Lytechinus pictus: one gene and its partners. The protein of the gene in region 1 interacts with the protein of each later gene in a pairwise test. Links are inferred from orthologs where the notes say so. Each region holds a gene or a part of one and is shown on either strand. Other genes may lie near its edges. The genes, in order: golgin subfamily A member 2-like, cyclin-H-like and alpha-ketoglutarate-dependent dioxygenase alkB homolog 3-like.

Region 1 (8,101 bases):
GGCGCCGTCAATACGCTAAAACGCACCCCTCCCCCATTTACCGAAACCTGGATACGCCAATATGCTTCAATGTTTGATGTTTTCCTTGATATATACATTTTTTTAATATATGTGTATGTATCATAAAATATATTTATTTATGTATGACATACATTTTGTAATATTATATGAAATGAATATTACAACAGTTCAAATTATGAAACAGTTACTAAACTGCGTTCAATCTCTCAACAATGCATATTTCCTTTCTTATTAGCGGTGCGTACGTGTACTTACCAATTGAGTAAGATATTTGATATAAGTAATCACAATACAAATAGATGCGACGAAATCACAGAAGGACAGATGAAAGATGAAAATATTTTTGATTTTGCGTAAAGTTTTGAAGCTCAATATGGCACCCATTGAAAGGAGGTTCAAAATCACGCCCAAAACTGACATGAAAAGTGGAATTACCCACGCTAATGTATCCACGATGGCCATATAGGTATGGGCTTCTAAGCTTACTTTGTATCCAGATGAAGGTGTTCGAGAATTTTTTTATTTCATATAAACAGTTGAGAACGAAGAAGCTGGTCATAGATCACCAAGATTTTGCGTATATACTGAATCAATATGAAGACTAGATTAAGTTTATACATGTAGAGAAATTGAAAAAAAAATCAATGAAAAAAGGGGGAAAGGGTGGTCAGGCTCAACGCAGGTAAATCCCATACAAAAGAGGATAATAACGAAAGCAAATCATTGGCTGATGGGAAGCCATTCTTTTCATTTTGATCGCGCATAATTAGCACAGATGGTCACATGATCCCAAATGACCAATTACAGCATGTGCATGACTTTTTTTATGATCGACACGAAATATAATTCTGACCACTCCGCATCATCAACGTCATTACATCATAATCATCATCATCACCGCCGCCACGCCCTTGCCTGCATGTATTTTCGTTCGATGATCCATAAACCACGGTATAATTCGCAAGCTTTTGAAACGAATTCAAATCAAGCTTCAATGGATGATCCAAAGATTTTTTTTTATTTCATCTGCTCATTAATTAACTTTCCTTATATTTCAATTTATGTATTATTTATTCCAGCTAGGCAGATATCCATTAGCGATTGAATTATCTTTATGTTTTCAGGTATAGTACAACATATAAATTCGGCAAATAGAGAAGAAACCTCTTAAAATTAGGATGCAATTCTCCTCTAAACATTTTGCAAGATTTTTTTTTTTTTTTTTTTTTTTTTTGGGGGGGGGCTACCATTACGCCCCTGGATCTATAATGAGTCACGGATGTGAACTTAGTTTTTCCCTATATTATACGTATTTCTGGCCCTTATTCCCAGAGCTCATAAGTATTTGATTCATACTACAGCAGGTCTTGCGGGGGTCTTGGACCTGGTTTTGCTTTCCCGCCAAGTCTGCAAATTAGGTTGTAGGGCTTTATACTCAAGGGAGGTCGGGCATGGGGATGTGCACATTTTGAGAAGGTGGAACTGAGTACAGAATATTAGAACAGATACCACATCATAAAGGAACCTATTCCTGAACGATATTGTGGAGGTATAAGTATATAGATATTTCAAATAACCCACTAGCCTGGAAGAGGAATTGAGTACAGTTGTTTATAAAGTTTAAACAATAGTTGTTAGAGTGACGGGCTTAAACAACATGCTTGAAATTTTAAACAGCGTTTTTTTACAGTATATAGGCCTATACACGGTAAAAAAAATCATACAACGTTGTTTACTATATGAACCTTGCAGCAATTGTTTAAACAGTATAAACAAGTGTTTAAATCTTAAGCAACAAAGTTTAATTTTCAATATCTAATTTTCAATAAATTAAACATGATTGTTTAAACGGTTAAACAAATACTGTAAGGTTCATATAGTAAACAACGTTGTATAAAATCTTTAACAGCGTTTTTACTGTGTACACGACGACTATAAATACGCGCTAGCGATGAAAGTTACAAAGTATACCTCTCAATATAAACTTGTCAATGACATTAGATAGGCTAAGCTTGTTTAGTACAAAATGATATAGATATGGAAGAAACATGCGAATCAAATTATCATGATTATAGGGCCTAATAATCGGTCATGTTTTAATGGTCGATGTATAGGCCTAGGCCTAAATTATACACCCAGAACTGCATAAACGGATTATTCATGTTATTGTCACAATAGGCCTCATTTTACCAACAGCTACAAACTCCTTGACAATGTAATGCAACATGTATAAGAAATTATTATTAGTGTAATTCCAGGTTACTATAGGAGAAAGTCAAAGGTCATTTCAGATATGCAATTTAAATTTGATAATGATTCATGATTTGTTCCGATTAATTGAAAAAAAATGTTTTGTCATATTGTATGAGATGATTATCGGATAATACAATAAGTTTTTAATCAAAGATCATTTGATATTAATGAAATTAGGATTTAACTATATTTAGTAAACAGCAAGGGCGTAAATCCCAGGGGGATGGGGATACATCCCCCACTTTTCGGAGGGGGGGGGGGGTGGCATGTACAATCATCCCCCACTTTTCAAGATGGAAAAAATATTTTTTTTAATCATCAAATGGTTAATACTTCTGTTAACGTGTGGATTCATCTTTAAAGTGCTTAGATTGGCCTACTTAAAAAAATTGCAAAATTTCTCGCGCGGTCGCATGAATCATGGGAGTTTAGTTGTAATATTAAGTCCATTAATGAATATGTGATTCCAATTACCTTTGAATATGATTATAACTTATCATAACGATTCAAAATATATTTTAAATATACACTCTCGTGAATATGGGGCAGGGGCCGCGGAAGCGGGGGGGGGGGGGCTTCAGCCCCCCACTTTCTTCCAAAATCGTGTACAAAAACGTAAAAATTACAATTTTTATGATTGTGATTTTTTGCATGGTCAGCCCCCACTTTTAGCTCAGCCCCCCCCCCCACTTTGAAAACCGTTCCGCGGCCCCTGTGGGGGGGGGGGGGTGGGTCATCTGGTATCTTTGTGGAAGCGGGGGTGTTGTATTTGGCCTACCGTATTCTTCAAGTTAAGTGTACGATGAGTCACCGTACATCAATGCCGTTAACGAAACACTAATCTTTGCTCAAAATATCGAATGTTGCATCATCTCCATATAATCTTAAAGATTATTCAAAATCTTTCCTTTTTTCATATACAATGTCATTGTGATATTACCACTTTTTTAAGATTATATTGTGGCTTGTGATGGCCTATGATCATTTTATATGGCACCCTCATTCCCGATAATAATAATATAATAATAATAATATAGGGTATTTATATTGCGCATGCACATATCCACCTTGTTAGGTGCTCAAGGCGCTCCTATATTACCCGGCTAAGCTATCCGGCTAATCATGATCATATTTTTGTTTTCATTCTCATCTCACTTTAACCAGTGAGCAAATGAGTTTTCATAGAACAAAACTCGACTATTTAGTCCCTATTTGCTCTTTTTATATTTCTTGTTCACATTCTTCTAAAGTTTACGTTATTGATGATACTCTTATCATCATCATTTTAATCGACTGTAGCAACTTTTTAAGGCTCGCAAAGTACGCTCACCGCCGCAATTTCTCTCATAATTACACTCATTGAAAGACGATTTGGTTATCATTCTGTCTTCCAACTATGGAAAATCTGCTCGCTCGCTTCTCTCGCTCGTATTTGGATACTAACTGTAATCCAGTAGTTTCGTCACAACGAATACATTATAGCCATCGAAAAAAAAGACATCGTGATAATAGTCCTTCAAGTGAAAAAATTGTATTATCCATTAATTATCCAGTTATATACTATATACCCCTGTACCGTGAACCCAGTTGGGGCATCATTCTTTCTTCCACCTATTGAAAATTTGCTCAGTCGCTATGCTCACTTGCCGCATTATCCAATAATCACTCCTCATGAAAGACGATTTTGCCGTCATCATGTCTTTCAACTACTGAAAATTTGCCCGCTCGCTCGCATTTGCTGAACTGGACATGTAGTTCGATCAGTAGTAACACAATTCATTACAATTATATAGCCATTGAAAAAAAAATCCGGAAAGGCCTTTAATTGAAAGATTAAAGGAATATGTACACAGTTACTTAGCCCTATATAGGTGTGGGGGTGTCCCCCAAATTTTTAATTTTCTGGTCAATAAGATATTGCTTTCATGCCCCCCCCCCCCCCCATGCTCGGACCGGATTTATACGCCAGTACGTGGTAAACATTTTTTTTAAAGAAACAAATATATATTCACTGTAATGATTGCTGCCATATTGAATCGCATAAGGTGAGACTGGGTGCGATCTTGTTAACCACTGAGGGGGCGGGCGCAATTTTTAAAGGGTGTGCTGGCCAGGCGTGCTGGTTTGCAAAAAAAGAAGAACTTTAAGAAGAAGAACGTAAAAGAGAGAAAAGGAGTTTCACTCCAAAATGCAGGTCGGATTTTGTGAAATTTCTATTTTTAGCATACCAACATGATTTTCAGGGGGTGATGCATACGACAGCACCCCCAGATTTTTTTTTGGGGGGGGGTGCTCTTTTTAGTCTAGATCACAAGTCGCAGCACCCCCGCTTCCCAGGGCCATGCCCTCCTCCGTGCGTCATGCAGAAATTTATCACTTTTCCTTATCTTTTCCAATTCTCTCTTTAGCCTTTTATTTTTATTTTTCTACAAATCAATGAAGAGAATGAACACACATTATTAGGTGTCATGATAATGCGAAGTATACAAATTACTCAGTTGAACTCGAAAAATTGGTTAAATCCATCCCGAAATCCATGATTCGCAGTCATGTTTGGATCATCACAATTCAGATCAGTGCAGATTTTTTTTTTTTTTTTTTTTTGATGCGTTGGATCTTGCATACGTGTCTGCGAAAGGCCGCCTAAAGTGATGAAAAAATAGTTATTGTGTGCGAATGAATCGGTCATGCTACGCACATCTTTACTGTCCAATGACCTTTTTTCATTAATTTACACACTCAACCCTTCAGCACTGCAGATATGGCGGATATTTCTCGAGAAGAAAAGCTCGCAGCTGCGAGGAAAAAGGTAGTTTATATGCTTTTTCTACAATATATCATATCTTTTATGTATTATTCAATGTGTATATATATTGGCAGAAAACTTGTAGACTATTGTTTGCATCTTAATTTTTAAATTTTACGTGTATTTTCTGCTTTAATTTGTGGATGTTTTATTGATTTGTAGAAAGTGGTGAGTGGTCCCACTCATTCGTGTCAGTGTGTTGTTTTCATTTGGACAGCATATTGTAACTGACACAGTGAGCCAGACTGGTTTGGGTGATTCGCCGTTTTTTCGCCGTTTTTTCTCCCTTTTTTCTCCCTTTTTCCCAACAGAAAAACGGCTAGAAAACGGCTAAAAAACGGCGACAAAAAAAGTGTACCGACTATGGAAAGCTAACTGTATGCAACAATGATTTTTATCAGAATAAAATAGTGAATACCTCCCTTCGAGAAAACGGCTACAAAACGGCTAATAAAGGGCGAATACCTCCATTGCGGGAAACGGCTACAAAACGGCTAATAAATGGCGAATACCTTCCTTGTGGAAAACGGCTAATAAAGGGCGAATATCTCCCTTGTGGAAAACGGCTACAAAATGACTAATATAAGGGTGAATACCCCCATCGGTAAAAAAGCCTTCAAAACTGCTAATAAATGACGAAAGGCACAAAAAAGTAATAAAACTAGTAATAAATAGGACTTAACAAGTAAAAATCAGCAAATAATGTTGTACCACACAAGCTGGTGAGTGCATGTACTTGAGACAACTTGGAATAACATTCATACTACCGTAATGAATGGTAGTGGATAATACCGAACAATCTTCAGTTTTTTCAATCATATCAAACCTTTTCTTAAAATTCATCAAAATTCCACCATAAAGTAATCACAAATACCTACTAAAAATAAGAATTTTAAAATGGCTGAAATCGATCGGCCTATATCTGAAAAAAAAATTCTCAGCTTCCGATTTCGCCCCTCTTCGCGTGTGAAATCTTTTGTCACTTGTGGTTCGTATACCAAACACATGTTTTCTGCTGTCATAAGAGAATTAACAAAAATCTATAATTAATTCATTTTCACCGTATTTTGTTATGTTTAGAAAATTGATACTTCATAAATATGATTTATTTTCATCATTTTTTCTTTTGGAAAGATGCTGCAATGTGCTAAATGTATTAAATTATACTGTACTGTATTATTTTCTTTATCTTGCCACTTGTTACGATCGTTTGCGTTTGCGAAGTGGGAATGGCCGCACCCTTTCGAGAAAACCAGGATAGCTTTTCTTGAAAGGGTGGGATGAGGGAAGGGAGTCAAATAAACACACCTTCTCGGGACAACCAGGGGAGCTTTTCACGAAAGGCTGTGTTTAATAGTTTTCTGAGCCAGTTGTTTCTATGAAAATTATTCATCAAATAATAACAACAACAATATAGGCGATTGGTAGAAATGCACATATGGGGGGGGGGGGGCCTGTTACACCCATAAATGTGAAAATCGCTCACAAATGTAATAACACTTTACCCACAAATGTAACAACGCCCAAAAATGTAATAACACTTTACCCACAAATGTAATAATTTAACCCACAAATGTATTAATGCACTTTACCCACAAATGTTATAATTTTTGATCGCCCACAAATGTAATAATGACTTTACCCAAAAATGTAATAAATTTGAAGGGATTTGATCCGTTCTAAACTAAAATCTATAGTAATACGTTGATAAAGCACAAAAGTGCACAAAAGTCTTTTTCCAGACCCGGTTGTTTCAAAAAGTATAATAGTCCAAAGTCTTTTTTCCAGACCCAGTTGTTTCAGAAATTATAATATAAGTCTAGTCTTATTTCCAGAACCGGGTCTGGAAAAAATTATTTGTCCTTTTTATATCATAATTCTTAAAAAGAAAATTTCCTCCTTCTTTATACATTTACACACATAATATGTTTATCAAGAAAAAAAATAATTATGTTATCGTCATCATCATCACGGCCGCCATCAAAATCATTACCACCACCATCATTCTCGTCCTCTTCTTCCTCTTTATCCCCCTTCATTATCACCACTATCATTATTTAATTACATCACAAATACACTATCATCCTCGATTATCATTCCGTTTTAACAAACGCTGACTATTGTAGTAGGTCCGTGATTGGACAATGTGGTTTGGGGGATTCATCCGGGTTGAAGAAACACAACGAGAGATCACAAGTGATCATTGCGTAACTTAAATTGAAACAGATTCTTCTTATTGTTAGGTGTTCACTGCAATCTTCACACCTTCCATTGTTCACAAAACGTGCGAGACGGTGTAATTAATTGACCCCATTGAAGTCGCAACAGCTAGGGCATTCACTCCAAAGCTTCTGTTATACATTTTAAAAGTTATCTTTCCTATAAAACGAAGTAGCTCAAGTGCATTGGGGTCTTTAACACTATAAAACACAGTTTTGATCAATATACCAACGAGATCGAACCAGCTCATGACATCATGGAGGCTGATGTATGCCTCCCCAAGAATTAGAGGCCGTTCTCATTACGCTTTCTAAACTAGTTTACTGGAAACCGATTCAGGAAACCACTTTGGAAGATCGCTTTGCTAGCGTTCCCACTTGATCACACGAAAGTGGTTTTCAATATCACTTCACTTTTAAAAAGCGCTCTTGTTGCTATGGTAACGCTCTCAGTGGGGTGACACGTTTCGCGCGAAATTCGAAACCGCAGCATAGGCATTCTACACCTGTCGTGTGGAGTAGCGTGCTCAAAATGTGCGAAGATCGCTTCCCGAAGAACGGTTGTGTCCTCACTTACGCTAAAACCAGTTAAACGAGGCAAAGCGATCTTAAAAACTACATCGCGAGGTGGTTTTCCAAACTGGTTTGGAAGATCGCTTCCAAGACCGCTTTGACCGTTCTCACTACGCGTTAAACTAGTTTCCACTAAACTAGTTTCCAGTAAACTAGTTTTAGGAACGTAGTGAGAACAGCCTCTTAAAGTATATCGAAGTGGTTTGTTGGATACTACTTAGGCCTACAT
Region 2 (7,947 bases), on another chromosome or scaffold:
TTGTTATCATTTATCAGCCATGTGAGGCAAATTATAGATTAGGTGAAATGCTACATGCTCCTTCCAGACTTCGTCAGTAGCAAACAGCAAAACATACATGTTGAATCATTTTTTTTCTTCCAAACTCAAGTAGTCACAATGATCAGTGATTTCATAAGATCGTATTTCCATTCAATCTCCATCATATTGTCTTCATCACAACATCATAAATCTTCATCATATTATCATAAATCTATAGTAACTTTTGACTACAGAAAATGCACACAAATTCAAATAGACAAGAGTATAGCCAAGATGAATAGAATATACACATTTACAAATAAAATAACAAATACAGCGGAATGGCAAGATCAAATCACATAGGTAACTCAAAATAAAATATATCATACAAGTCAATACAACCAAGTATAAAATATATTGAAATTACAAATATAACAATTTAATACATTTGCAATAAAAAATTCACATGAAAAGAGACATATAATAGGTGTAAGGCGTATAAAAAGAATATTCAGCGAGTATCTTGGCAAGTAAAGATTATAAGATGTATTTCAGAAATATTTACATAATAATAATAAATTTGACGTCTGGGAAAAGATAAATTACAAATTATTATTACTGGGCATCATTTTTCTACAATCATTTAGCACTTGTTGTTTTTATTTGTTGTTTTAAAAAATAACATTTGGAAAAGAAATTGTTGGATCAATCTAAATCTATTCCAATCCAATGTCCCTCGCCGTCTACTAATATAATTGTTTACTATACTACCAGCATTTATTAAGGCACTGTTGAAGTACACACTTCACAGAATCCATGCGGTGAAGGGCACAGCAGAGAGTACCGGTACTTGTTATTACTTGCACGCTGTAAGCAATTTTTTATCGAATGATGTACATACACTTGCACTCTGCACTTCACCAGTACAACAATACACCAGACGGTGGCCTGTACTGTTTACAGAAGAAGAGTATTCACAAACTTATCATGTTCAAAGTTTACTATGCGCAAAATATCCTTTCTACCCAAACGAACAAGTTCCTGTCATTTATACTATAAATTCATGCATTAACTATGACAAGAATATGAAATAGTCCTGAAAAGCTAAAACTAAATGATTGTTCATACATCAAAACCACATCGTTGGCTTTTTACAGATAAGCAGCTATATGAACAGGGTTAAAAGCAGAAGTATATATATTAATTGAAATGTTTCTCAAAACACTTAATATTGCTTACCACCACAGCAGGAGGCACAGGGGGTTGAAACTTCTTACAAAAGTCTCGAAGAAGAAACTCATACGATTCACAAAGTGTCCTCTCCTCTCCTTCACTCAAGAAGAAAGTGGTTGGATCTTTACCCTGCAAAGAGTGTGTAAAGGTAATTAAAACTGCTTATTTCTCCATCCATTTTTCAGGCACAGAATGGTCTGAAAATGTATAAATCTATATCATTGTTTCTTGAGTTTGTTTGTTAGCATCCAAAGGACCTGTTGATTAAGAAATATATTAAAATTTACAGAGGGAACTACACATTCTCAAATGTTAAATTCCAATTTTCACAAAGAAACATCCAATGGATAAAAATAATAATCGCTGCAGTTTTCTTAGATTAGAATGTTATATGATACAATTCGCAATATTCCCCAAAGGTTTACCCGAGCTTTGATGCAGTAAAAGAAAAAAACATCAAGGATTGTCATAAGGGGCAGATCCAGGATTTTCCAAAGGGGGGGGGCACATTTTTCCTTGGAAAATGTGACAAGCAGGCAAAATAAATGCCAGGCTTTCACAAAAATATAAAATCACTTTTCCCTCATAAAATTTGACACCCCCCCAAAAAAAAAGGTCCTCACTTTTGAATGAATGACATACATATTCCCATTAAAATATTTGCTGTGCCTCTTAAGGGGGGCACACTTGTGTATGAACATATTAAATAAAAAATATTGGCTATGACTCTCAAAAGGAGTCAAGGGCCGGATGTGCCCCCCCCCCCACCTGGATCCGCCGACTGTCATTAACGCCCAAGAAAACAATATTAAATAATGAACTACAGTCTGACCTCTCTTATCCAGCCTCCCCTTATCCGAATCTCAATATTATTCGGATGCACACTTGCTGAGATTTTTTTTTTTTTTTTCAATCTCGTACGAGGGGGAATGAGCTTTCAATCTAAACTCAAAATTCCTACGCAAACTCACTTTGATTACATACATTTTCCAATATAGTCTACCTACAACCACATTATTTTTTAATGAAAATATCTTACCCAAATCACCGAAAGAACTTAAACAGGATAAATTTCCAGTAAAACAGGGCACAGCGCAACCATTTTATCACATTCTCTTTTTTTCAGAAAAAACAACACTTCTCACTAGCTAGCGCTATAGGCCTCGATACAGACAGTGCCATCTATCATGTTTGAGCCTACAGTCATAACAATGGCTGGCTTTGCAAAGCTGTGATGCTCGCCACGATGATCCAGTTTTAAAACTTAGTTTCATCGAGTCATTCTCTTTCTTTCAAGGTATGCTCGATGTATACCTCAATAATTTCAGCAGGTAAATCATCCATGAGTTTTGGTGACCAATGAGTTTCATTTCCGTAAAAAACACCTATAATTTGCAATGACACTGCAGGGAATACTTGCCTGTGTACGCCCACTACAATAGATTATGTGTAGCTACCATAAGGAAGGCAGTTCAGTGTATTTAATATTAAGATTCCCAGATCCGGATAAATCCCTTATCTGGATTGGTGCTGGTCCCAAGTCCCAACGTGTCCGGATAAGAGAGGTTGGTCTGTACTATGTAATTCACCCCAACTCCATGTATGTTAAATTCATTTCACCTTGTGATGTATTTGTGACAAGTCTCACCTGAGATTTGGATTGATGTTCCTCCCTGTACCTTTGGTTGGAAGCCGACCGTTTCTCGTTCAGTTCTTCCTGGGATGAGAATGTCCATGCTCTCAGTTGAGTGCTGTTATGATACATCTTCTCCCTAACTTCAAATAAATCCTGATAAAAAAGACGACTTGCCTGGATAAGACTGATAGAGCGCAAAACATAAAGAAAGAGAGAGAGGGATGAAGAAAGAACTAGATAGCAACCAATGAAATTATTTTCCCCTCCCATTTCAATCGCACTCAGTGAGTGGAAAAACCAATTACCAAAATGATAAAATGATTTTCATTTGTGTCAAACTAGATTCAGCTAGACATTATGTACATGTATATAAATCCACAATTTAGGAGGGGAAAGTCTGGTGCAACAAGCTAATCCTACTTCCAACTTCAATAATTGTGTGATTTAGAATTCAATGTTTTTTTCATTTCTTGTGATACTTGTAGACATTTACCATACAGGTAAAAGAAAATAGTTGCAGGAAAAAATATTTCATGAAAATGTATTTAAAATCAAGTTTAATTGTCACCATATTATCATTTATCTACAGTAGATCTTGTACAATAAAGTAAACTTATCTTTATGATATCATGAAATCTTAGCTCAAAACCGACAATTCTGATGATCACTAACACAGACTAGAAATTTGACGTGTCCCAAGGACACAGATGCCCCCACTTAACGCGATCAGAAATTCATTCAATATGATTGAACTTAATATCGTGCAGAAACCAATATGCATATGAACAAATTTAGACCTTTGAAACCATCTCGCATATATAATGAGCTGTGACCTTTGACCTGCGGACTCCGAATTTGAACTTAGCCTGTATTTTGGTGTCATCTACCTACACACCAAAAATGTTTAAAATCCATCAAATATTTTTTCGAGTTTGTGCGCAGAAACCAATTTGCATATTTTATGAGCTGTGACCTTTGACCTGCAGACTCCAATTCAAACTTAGCCTGTATTTTGATGTCATCTACCTACACACCAAAATTTTTTTAAATCCATTTAATATTTTTAGAGTTATAGCGCGGAAACCAATTCCATATTTAATAAGCTGTGACCTTTGACCTGCGGACTCCAATTTCGAACTTAGCCTGTATTTTGGTGTCATCTACCTACACAACAAAAATTGTTAAATTCATTTGAATATTTTTTGAGTTATTGCACAGGAAAAATATTTTTCGATTTATTGCGTGGAAACCAAGTGGGGGGACGGACGGACGGACAGGGGCAACGCTTAATGCCCCCTCCAGACTTCGTCTGCGGGGGCATAAAAAGCATATTGGGACAGTGTAATATTGCTTGGAAAAATACTCACATTTGATCGAATTTTGTGCTTATTTTACCCATTTCTCATCAATTAGACATTTTTATCCAGAGCCATTTGCCACATGTTTTAGTTATACATACAAACACTTGGGTGGTAATACTTGATAAAGTTTGAGCTCATTTTTAGATCGTTACAACAACTGGTATATAAAGAGTTTAGTTCAATGATTTGTGTGGTTTATTCAAATTCCCAAAAGCTTTTGTTCCTTTTTTGTCATTGATGAATTCTTGAGAGACAATGCTTTGAAAATACCACATGTGGGAGATAAACTAGTAGTTCAGTTAGACATGATAATTCAATCTCATAAGAAATTGAAGGTTTAAATTTGCGACATAGATAGCAGAATTAACCGTATTTTGTCATTTAAGTGCTGCACATAAGAATTAAAAATATATTGAAGTGAATTTACATACATGAAATATAATGGTAGTGATAATTCTTTGACTTTAGTTAGGGAAGGAGAAGCAGATGAAACTGAAATTGGTGAGCTCAGAGTCAGGCTCCTCACGCACTTGATTACTATTATGTCCAAGTTTTATGAATCAGGGGCGGTATTCTGAAAACGTTCTTATCTTAATTTTGTTCTTATCTACGTCACGTTCTCAAATTGGTATTCTGAAAACGTTCTTATCTTTTGTTCTTATCTTTTTCTTATCTTGCTTTCCATCCTATGCTGAGCGCGTAAATTTGTTACACGCGCATAATACAAAAGCGCACTAAAAAGATAAGAACAAAATAAAGATAAGTGGTATTCTGAAAACGTTCTTATCTTTTACGATATTTATGATAATATTTAAGATAGCTAGAGGGTTATCACATCTCACGATGTTCGCGTTCTTTCTTGCTAAAAAAAGATGGCCACTGGTAATAACATGTATTCTTTCCATCCTTTCTTTTATCCACCCTTTATTTTGTTTTTCACCTTTTTTTTCTATCCTTTTGTCTTTCTTTATCTATTTTCACTTTTTCTTCCTTTCTATCTGTCTATCTTCCTTTCTTTTATTCTTCATTTATATCTTTTGCTTTATTCTTTTGAATTTTTTAATCTCTTCCTTATTCTTATGTTACTTTGTTTCATGTATTCTTCATCTTTCTTCCTTTTTTATTTTCCCTTTTCGTTCTTTTTCTTTCTTTCTTTGAATTAACCTTTCTTTCGATTTCTTTCTTTAGTCTTTATTTTTGCTTTAATTTCTCTTTCATTGTTTCATTTTCCTTTTTTCTCTCTTCCTTCACCTTTTACATGTTTTTATTCCTTCTTTTTCTCTTTCTTTTTTTTCTTTCACTCGTTTTTCCTGTTTTTTCAGTTCTTTATTCCTTCATTTTATCCTTTTAATCTTTTTTTGGTCCTTTTTCGTTTTTTCCTTTAAGTTTCTTTCTTTCCTTTTCTTCATTTAAGTTCTTTTTGCTTGCTTTCTTTCGTTTGTACTCTTTCATTATTTTCTGCTTTGTTCCTTTCATTTTTTTTATTTCTGCTTCATTCTGACCCTTTTCTGTCTCCTTTCTTACCTACTTACTTTCTTTCTTCCTGTTTTATTCTTTATTCGTACCTGCTTTATTTACTTTTTTTCTTTACTTACTTTCTTTCTTCCTTCCTTCCTTCCTTCCTTCCTTCCTTCCTTCCTTCCTTCCTTCCTTCCTTCCTTCCTTCCTTCCTTCCTTCCTTCCTTCCTTCCTTCCTCCCTCCCTCCCTCCCTCCCTCCCTCCCTTCCTTTCTTTCTTTCTTTCTTTCTTTCTTTCTTTCTTTCCTTATTGTGCACATGTCTCAAAATAATAATCAGTCATTGCGTATAAAATGCCTATTTCACGCAATGCGCCAGAAACAGTGTTCGCGCAGTGCCCATGATATTCTCTTGACATAAGGAACGCTTCTATTGGTTAAACTGACAATATAAAGCGCATTTTGATTGGTAATATCCTAAAAAATGGGCGTGTTGAAGATAAGAAGGAGGCAGTCCTTACAGAGATAAGAACGCGTTAAGAAGATTTTCAGAATACCGATTTGCAATGATTTTAGCGTCTTCTTATCTCAGATTTCAGATTCAGATTCATTTATTTCACACCTCTTTAAAATACAAAAATACATACATCTCAATGAGATAAGATAAAAGATAAGAACAAAGATAAGAACATTTTCAGAATACCACCCCAGATCCATAAACTTTCGAAGTTATGATGGTAATTCAATAAATACCCCAACTTGGTCCAAGTTCATTGACCCTAAATGACCTTTGACCTTGGTCATGTGACCTTAAACTCAGGCAGGATATTCAGTAATACTTGAATAACCTTATGTCCAAGTTTCATGAACTAGGTCCATAAACTTTTTAAGTTATGACATTTCAAAAACTTAACCTTGGTTAAGATTTCAATGTTGACGACACCGCCGCCGTCGGAAAAGCGGCGCCTATAGTCTTGCTCTGTTATGCAGGCGAGACAAAAATGAAAAATGGTGTAATGCAAAGTGTTATTTTTTTCATGTTGAATTGAAAATCTTCATTTTGTACATAATGCTCCATCATGTTACTGGATACATATACACGTACTATGTATTTATGTACAGTTTGATGAATATTCTATACCCTAGGCAATTTATAGAATGAAGAATAGTTTAAATACAAATGAAAAGTATAGTATTTGAGGATATCTATTTATAATTTTGTATTTAAATAAAAACAGAATTTATCACTTTTTGTGAAAAAATTAAAATTCCTGAAATTCCCGGCAGCTGAAAATTCCTGAAACTTTCCATGGAAATGTTCCAAATTTCCGGAAAGTTTCCATCCCTTTGCAACCCTATTCTAACCATTTCGAAAATATATTTTCAGAATATTTAATGGAGAACAAATATCAGTAGAATTTTAGACGATTGATTTTTGGGGGTCCCGGTGTTTGTTTCAAGTTTGAGCTTCCTCTCTTTCTTTTTTTTCCTTCTTTCTTCATCCTTTCTTCTATATTACTTCATGCCTTTTTTGTTCCATCTATCTTTTTTTCCATATATCCTAACTTTTTTTCCTTCCTTTCTCCCTCTGTTTCCATTTATTTTCTTTATTTCTATATGTCCTTTTTTCCCCATCTTTTTCTTGCTTTTCTTTTTTTCTATGCTTGCATTCAAGTTCATTCTCTCTTTCTCTCCTTTTGTTCTTTCTTTCATTCCTTTCTTCTTTCCTTCCTTCCTACATTTATTCTTGCCTCCTCTATTCTTTCCTTCCTTTATTTCCTTCTTTTCTTTCACTATTTCTGTCATCCTGCCTTCCTTTTTTTCATTCCTCTTTCTTTCCCTTCTTTTTTCTTTCATTCTTTCTTTCCCTTATTTTCTCTGCCTTTCCTTTGTTTTTATTGCATTCCTTTTTTTTTCCTTCCATCTTTCTTTTTCATTACTTTCATCCTTTCCTGACTTCTTTAATTTTCTTTCCTTCAAATAATGAAGGAAACATTTTTTCCTTCCTTCATCCCCCTTCCTATCCTTTTATTTTTTTTATTTACTTTATTTTTGTTTCTTTCCTTCTGTCTCCCTTTGTTTTTCTTTTTTTCCTTCATTCTTTCCTTCCTTTCTTTTATTCCTTCTTCCCTTCCTTCCTTCCTTCTTTCTTTCTTTCTTTCTTATCCATTACTCTCATCCCTTTCTGTCTTTTATTATTTATTTTCTTTCATTCCTTTTTCCCCCTTCATTCTTTCTTTCATTCCCTTTTTATTCTTTCT
Region 3 (7,148 bases), on another chromosome or scaffold:
CGTTGGTGGTATACATTATGAAATACAAAGTTACTACTAAGTCAAATCTTACCTAGCCTCCCCTCCAGGTTCCACACTGATCACATAAGACCCATCTTTCCTGCAAAATAAAAAAACAAAAGTATTTTACAGCAAAAAATTGGAAGGCTTTTTCTTGAATAACTTCTCTTCTCTGTCAGCAAGTGTGCTTAACTATGAATAGGCAAACACTATCTAGATGCTACATAGGCCTGTTCAAATCAGCAAGTAAACTTTTTTTTCACCGAAATTTCATGATCTTTTCCTTTCACATATCTGTATTGCACATATACACTTTTTTTTACCTTTATTCATAATAATGAATAGTTGCCAAGTTATTTAGGTTAAAAAACAATGGTTATCTGTTTTGTTTTAATGGGCTACTTGTATATTAAACATTTTGGAAAAAAAGAGAAGAACAAAGTTTGAGATTGCCAAAATATTTCCTAATTTCTCAACATACTCATACAATATAAAAGAAAAAACCCTCAAGTAGATGTTTTGATCTCATATCATCCACACAATAACAGCTTTAGGACACAAAAACTCATCTAATGTACGAGTAGTAATGACCTGGAAGGTGTTTCACAAAAATTTCATTATGAATTAGAGTAGCACTTAAATTTAGTTGCTTGTAGTACACAGCGCATCACCGCATTGGCCAGATCGTGCTCAGGAGACACGCACAAACGCGTATTCATCATGTGTGCGTTGGCGTTTAGGCATGACTCTAAGTCACACTTAAATCTTTGTGAAACACCCCCTGGGGGCCGTTTCATAAAGCTGTTCGTAAGTTAAGAGCGACTGTAAGAAAGACTGGTGAACATTCCTAAATCATCCCCAATGAATATACCATTGACCACAAGAAAGGATCACAAGTCGTTCTTAAAGTCGCTCTTAACTCAAAAACGGATTTATGAAACACCCACCAGGACTAGTTTCCGATACTTTTTGAAGGATTTACCAAAACTTAAGGGTGGTTTAAACACTTACACAATCTCCTTTGGTTCAGGAATTCTTCTTATCGGACCTGTCTCTGTAAATGTCAGTGTCTGCGGCAGACAATCTGATTGGCCCTTTGTTGTAGGAGATGTTGTAGTCTCTGGGGTCTTACTTGTCATGGACACTGCATTGGGGTTGGGACCTGGTCTAGATGGAGGCTTTGATCCAGGGCCTGGACCAGTAGGCCTACCTCTGGCCTGTAAACACACACATAAAACAAAACAAAAAAAACATCATTAATTATCATCATCACCATCAATTATCATCATCGTCACCATCATCATAATCATAATCACCACCATCATCATCATCACCATCATAACCATCATCATCACCACTACCACTACCACCACCACCACCATCATTATCATCATCATCATCATCATCATTGATCATCAGTATATCACCACCACCACCACCATCATCATAATCATCATCTCCACCACCACCACCATCATCATCACCATCATAACCATCATCATCACCACTACCACCACCACCATCATCTCCACGACCACCACCATCATTATCATCATCATCATCATTGATCATCATCACCACCACCATCATCATAATCCTCATCTCCACCACCACCACCAACACCACCACCACCACCATTATCATCATCATCATCATCATCATCACCAATCCAATCATTAACATTATTTTATCACCTTTCCTTTGGATGGTGGGGCAGCCCATGATCCTTGTATTCTTGCTCTCTGTCTCTTGTTATCGGCCATTTTATCAAGCTGTATGCAGGGCTACCTGATTACAACAAAATGTTATTGATTTGACTGGATGTTGAAATGTAATTAATTAACTCTGCTTGTACTAGTATAAAAATACTTGAACTTAGCCTTAGGAATAGTTACAGACCCAGTCAGCAATCTTTGAGCATAGTTTACACTCGATTTTACACTCGAGCAAGAACAAAAAAAATGGTCCAGTGAATATATTGTTCTATTGTTCTGGCTTGGTCACTCTATTGTTCTGGACCCGAGTGTAAACTATGCTCAAAGATTGCTGACTGCCACTGTATTCATTTTAACAATATATACAGCACAATGAAAAATTATCATAAATAATATAATTGCTGAGATACGTTTCATTTCAAGGCAAGGAGTTTAATATCGAGACAAAACCAAAGTGATTTCACTTTCTAGTGTACGTGGAAATGGAGGGGGATGATGAGACATGATATGCCTGTAGTACTGTTTACCCAGTTGTTGTGTCTGGACGTGGACGATCAATTTTTGAGTCATTTGGAAAAATTTACAAGCGAAGTTTCATCAGTTTTTAGACTTTTTTAGTACAAAATCAAAATGTTAGGAAATATTAATTATACTATTTATAGAGAACAAAAAAGAAGATGATTGCAACTATTGAATTCATATTTTAGTTTAATCCAAAGTCCGACAAAGTCAATGAAAAAAGAAGAAAAAAAGAAGGCTTCAAAAATATAAAGAAAGTGTCCAGACACCCGACCCCCCCCCCCCCCCCCCCCCCCCCCGACCAAGCCAGGCCAATCTATGTAATGTAGTTTTCATTCTCAATAAACTATTAATAAATATAGATCTAGGACAACTTCCCATTTAAATCAATGTTATAATATGAAAGGGATCCTATCAGTATCACTCACACGACTAAAACAGCGAGGATTGTATCAAAGGTGACTCAGTGATGCCATCCTGATTACCGGCGCGTGCAATCCATTACACATGCAAAGGAATACGCTTAATCACGATTCCATGATACTTGTGCACGAATTGTACGTATTGGTAATATCCAAATGCAGCACATCTACAGGGAGGAACTTAGGTAATCGTTTTCGAGCTATTTAAACTCCAAGTTAGTTGACGTTATTCAACTATCACTATCACGAATATACTGTATGAATTCATGGGCTTACCTTTCAGTATAATACAACACTTAACTAAAGATGGTAACCTTGGGATTAAGTAAATAGCATAAAAAAATGCAAAGATTAAGAAGCAAAATAAATTCGTTCAGCTGAAGTAATGTTTACGAAACATATCTAGCCTTACTTCAAGATGAAAATGCAGTTTGTTTACAAAGGAATTAAAAAAAATCTAAATGGATAAACAGGCAACCTAAAAATGTACCGGTACCTCTACAATTTTTCCTGTCAGTTTAAGTTAAATCTTTTCAGTATCAAACTTAAATTTCTTTATTTTGTGTTTGTGTATGAATGCATGGCCATTATACTACTTTATTACTAGAATAATATGTCATTTTATTCTATTAAACTTTGAATGAAACATTAATTTTACTTTCTAAAATGAATATCGTCTCTCGTGTTGAATCTTTTTTTAATTCGATTTTAAATGACAAATATATTTGTCATTTAAATATATTACTCCATTATAATGAAGTAATCATAATTTGCAAGGTTTTTTGCGATAGGGCCTACATGGCTACTAAATGAATGATGAATGAATGAGCGAATAAATAGACGGATGAATGAATGAATGGATTAATGAATGAATGAATGAACGAGTGAATGATAAATGGATGAATGAAAAAATGAGTAAATGAATGGATGAACGAACTAATAAATGGATGGAATCAATGAATGAATGAATAAATAAATTGATAAATGAATGAATGAACGAATAAATTGATGGATGAATGAATTAATGAACGAATAAATGGATGAATGAATGGATGGATGAGGGAATGAATGAATTTATTCAAAACCAAACATATAACATAATACATGATCACTGTATATTTACACAAGTTTATAATACAATGAATAGATTTTAGGACCCCGAGGCGCTTGTGAGAAGGGCCCGTGTTCAAATTAAGATTTTGGGCTCAATCATACCAGAAGAAACAAGCACCAAATCTGGAAATCGGTGGCACCATGGGCAAATGCTAATGCCAACTGACAAATACAATACTAGTAATAACGATCATTATTATTGTGGCAAATTGGGCGATCATAATGTATCAGTCAGGAATACCATGGACATGAAGCCCAAATACCATACAAGTTCATCAGGCATATTATGTGAGACAAATAGTTATTATAAAAAAAATCCTCGAAATTTGATTGTCCCCAATCAAGTTTTCTGTTATTTTTTTTTCATACTATACGGAGCAAATTCACTATCAGCCACTAGCGTACCTACGGGGGGGGGGGGGGGGGGGCAGGGGGGGGCACTCTGCCCCCCCCCCCCCTGACGAGCCACAACCCATGCAAAAACGTATCTTTGCCCCCCCTGACGGGCTTGAAAAACCTTTTTTGCCCCCCTGACGAGCTTTAAGACCTTCAATGCCCCCCTGACGAGCTTGAAGACCTTTTTTTTTTTTTTTTTTTTTTTTTTGCTTGTCAATTTTTTTCTGGTACGAAATCCTTTATTTGTGATCGAAGACCTTTTTTTTTTTTTTTTTTTTTTTTGCTTGTCAAATTTTTTTGCGGACGGTTTTGCCCCCCCTGTGGAAAATCCTAGGTACGCCACTGCTATCAGCCCTTTCACATGGTAAAAGAAATCGTAATTTGAATGATGATTCCAGTGAAAAAAAAGGCGAATGACGAATTTTTAGCACGTGTGAAACCAAACTAGAACATGATAAGAATCACGCACGCCTGCAATCATCATTACAATGATGGTTCAAGATTCACGTGTGAAAAGGCCCTATGACTTTATTGAAACAAATAAGGGGGAAGGTAGAGAAAGGAGGGGGAACTTCCATAAAAGAATGCACACACGAGAAAAAAACGAGTAACATAAGGGAATGATAATTAATAAGAGAAACGACACCAAAAAGAAAATTAATGAAAGGAGAGCTGAAAACAGTGAAAGAAAAAAAAAGCGAGGACCAACTTTGTTCGAAAAAAAAAAATTCCCTTTCTTTAATTGCAGGAACCAAAAGAGGGGGCGGGACGGAAATATAGGAAGGGAAAGTAGATTCTGGGAGAAATAATTTTAAAAAAAAGTAATACAAAATGGAATAAAAAAAATAAAAATAAGAAGAAAGGTTAATGAGCCTCCAGGGTACATAGGGTCTTTGTACTTCATGCATGATACCTCACAATGACCATGTTAATATGTATACCATATGTTATCGTATTGTTTATAATATAGTATAGGCGTACCGCTCGGGGTGAGAACACGGTTACGCCAACAGCGCGATTCAGTAGTTTACGCTTATCACTTAAAAAGTTTTGGAAATGAATACTGTGTTTGAACTCTCATAAATTCTATAATTCTTTCATTTTTTCTTGTGCGCCTCTGCAACTTTCAATCATTTCAGGAGTCGCTATAGGCCTACATCAGTGGCAGATCCAGGGGAATCCAGCCCGTGCCCCCCCCCCCCTTCTGAGGGGCACCAAAAATAATTTTTATTGTAATAAAATTATGTCATGCATTAGCAAGTGAGGACCCTTTCTTTTACTATTTTTTTTTGCTTGTCAATTTAATGAGCTCGATTTGGCAGCGAAGACCTTACTTTTGGTTGTCATAATTTTCTTGAAGAATACAATGCACCCCCCGAAAAATCCTGTATCCGCCCCTGCGCTATATACATGAATGCGGCATGATATTAAAAATACCATTAGGGCGATGACACAATAAATGGACTGCAAAATGTTAATTCCTTTCATTCCACAACTCAGTCAAGATTAATTTCTGTATTTTAGTTATCTTCTAGTTTCCAAGATGATTATTACAAGAATGAAAGTAATGTTTTTTTATTTTTTATTCTAATGTTTGCTGTTTTAGAGATATTGGTCTAACACTAGTCTACAATTGTAGACCCACATCTGCAGTGTGTGTATCACAGCTGATTCAAGGAGTCTGCATAGCAGACTAGGTCTCTGAAATGGCTCGCTTCGCTCGCCCTTTCAGGCTGGTTTGCTTCGCAAACCAGCTGCAGATCCCACTTCACGAGCCATTCAGAGTCTGCATAGCAGACTAGTCTAACACTGTGATGAAAAGATTATGGGAAGCCAAAAATGTCAAAATTTTGTTCACATTTTAATATGTTTCTTATGCTCAGTTTTCTTCTTCGTCATGCTACAATGACGAATAAACCCATGTTATTATTCCCAGAAAGTTCAGAATTACCTAAGTAACATATGAGATGATGAATCGAACATGTACTGTTGTGTCACAAAACACAACTTTAGAAAATATTTTAAATATTTAAACCCGAGCTCAGAACGGGACATTGAGTGCACAAACTTTTTGACATTTTACATTTTAATAAACATGATTAATCTGTTCTGTTGTTTATTATTTGCCATCTGGTGGTAGCTGTGTCATTGAAGATCTTTTCTCCCGTGAGTTTCATTCCAGCAGTTCGCGCAGCATGACTGCGTAGCATGAATTTAATTATTTTATGATGTACAATAATAAAGACATTAATGTTGGAAATGAAGGTCAACGTATTTTTTTCTTGCACTTTATATAGCACCCTGTTTGAGATAAAGATTCTCAAGTGGTTCTAAAAGTATAAATAGGTGAACATGACGAAGGCCGAAACCAAAGATTACATCGATCATTGCAGATTTGTGCATCTCTTTACTTGGTGAGTATAAATGCTGCTCCGAAGTATTTTGAATATTAAACAAGCATAGATAATAACTAGATTACTAATACTTGCTTCTAATCGTGATCATTATACTAAAATTTATATCTGGATTTAGGATTTTATTGTTGTTTTAATGCAAATCTAAGCATACTAAGTATATTTATTGAGAAATTTTGGGAGCTTGCGATTGCTTGACCGGTAAGTGATCGAGGACCGTCAGCTGCCCCTTTCCGACTGCCTACCCTGGCAACTTGTATTTTGTATTATGTTTACCAGGGGCCGCGGAAACGGGGGGGGGGGGGGGGGGCTTCAGTCCCCCACTTTTTTCCGAAACATTGTACAAAAACATAAAAAATTACCATATATTTTTTGAATGGTCAGCCCTCCCCCACTTTGAAAACCGTTCCGCGGCCCCTGTTTACCGACTTTAATAAATGACTTCTATTCATGGGCTTGATGGGGGGGGGGGGGGGTGGAAACAACTGAGGGACGTTTCCAAGGGACAGTGGGGGGGGGGGGTGACCGAAGTGCCCCTGCTAACAACCATTTCATGACTCACAGTAATT

What was found.
Region 2: the proteins of golgin subfamily A member 2-like (region 1) and cyclin-H-like interact in binary tests that used the Homo sapiens proteins (3 or more experiments, as listed by UniProt). The link is inferred for Lytechinus pictus from reciprocal best matches to the Homo sapiens genes GOLGA2 and CCNH.
Region 3: the proteins of golgin subfamily A member 2-like (region 1) and alpha-ketoglutarate-dependent dioxygenase alkB homolog 3-like interact in binary tests that used the Homo sapiens proteins (3 or more experiments, as listed by UniProt). The link is inferred for Lytechinus pictus from reciprocal best matches to the Homo sapiens genes GOLGA2 and ALKBH3.

Annotation. Positions count from the first base shown.
Region 1 is NC_087259.1:22,002,165-22,010,265, forward strand, and holds the start of golgin subfamily A member 2-like, read left to right. Parts: upstream 1-5,015; 5' UTR 5,016-5,035; coding exon 5,036-5,083; intron 5,084-8,101. UniProt on the Homo sapiens protein: Peripheral membrane component of the cis-Golgi stack that acts as a membrane skeleton that maintains the structure of the Golgi apparatus, and as a vesicle thether that facilitates vesicle fusion to the Golgi membrane.
Region 2 is NC_087247.1:17,504,447-17,512,393, reverse strand, and holds the start of cyclin-H-like, read right to left. Parts: upstream 3,085-7,947; 5' UTR 2,999-3,084; coding exon 2,882-2,998; intron 1,363-2,881; coding exon 1,240-1,362; intron 1-1,239. UniProt on the Homo sapiens protein: Regulates CDK7, the catalytic subunit of the CDK-activating kinase (CAK) enzymatic complex. CAK activates the cyclin-associated kinases CDK1, CDK2, CDK4 and CDK6 by threonine phosphorylation.
Region 3 is NC_087263.1:2,942,086-2,949,233, reverse strand, and holds the start of alpha-ketoglutarate-dependent dioxygenase alkB homolog 3-like, read right to left. Parts: upstream 3,077-7,148; 5' UTR 2,933-3,076; intron 1,789-2,932; 5' UTR 1,764-1,788; coding exon 1,695-1,763; intron 1,218-1,694; coding exon 1,012-1,217; intron 101-1,011; coding exon 53-100; intron 1-52. UniProt on the Homo sapiens protein: Dioxygenase that mediates demethylation of DNA and RNA containing 1-methyladenosine (m1A). Repairs alkylated DNA containing 1-methyladenosine (m1A) and 3-methylcytosine (m3C) by oxidative demethylation. Has a strong preference for single-stranded DNA.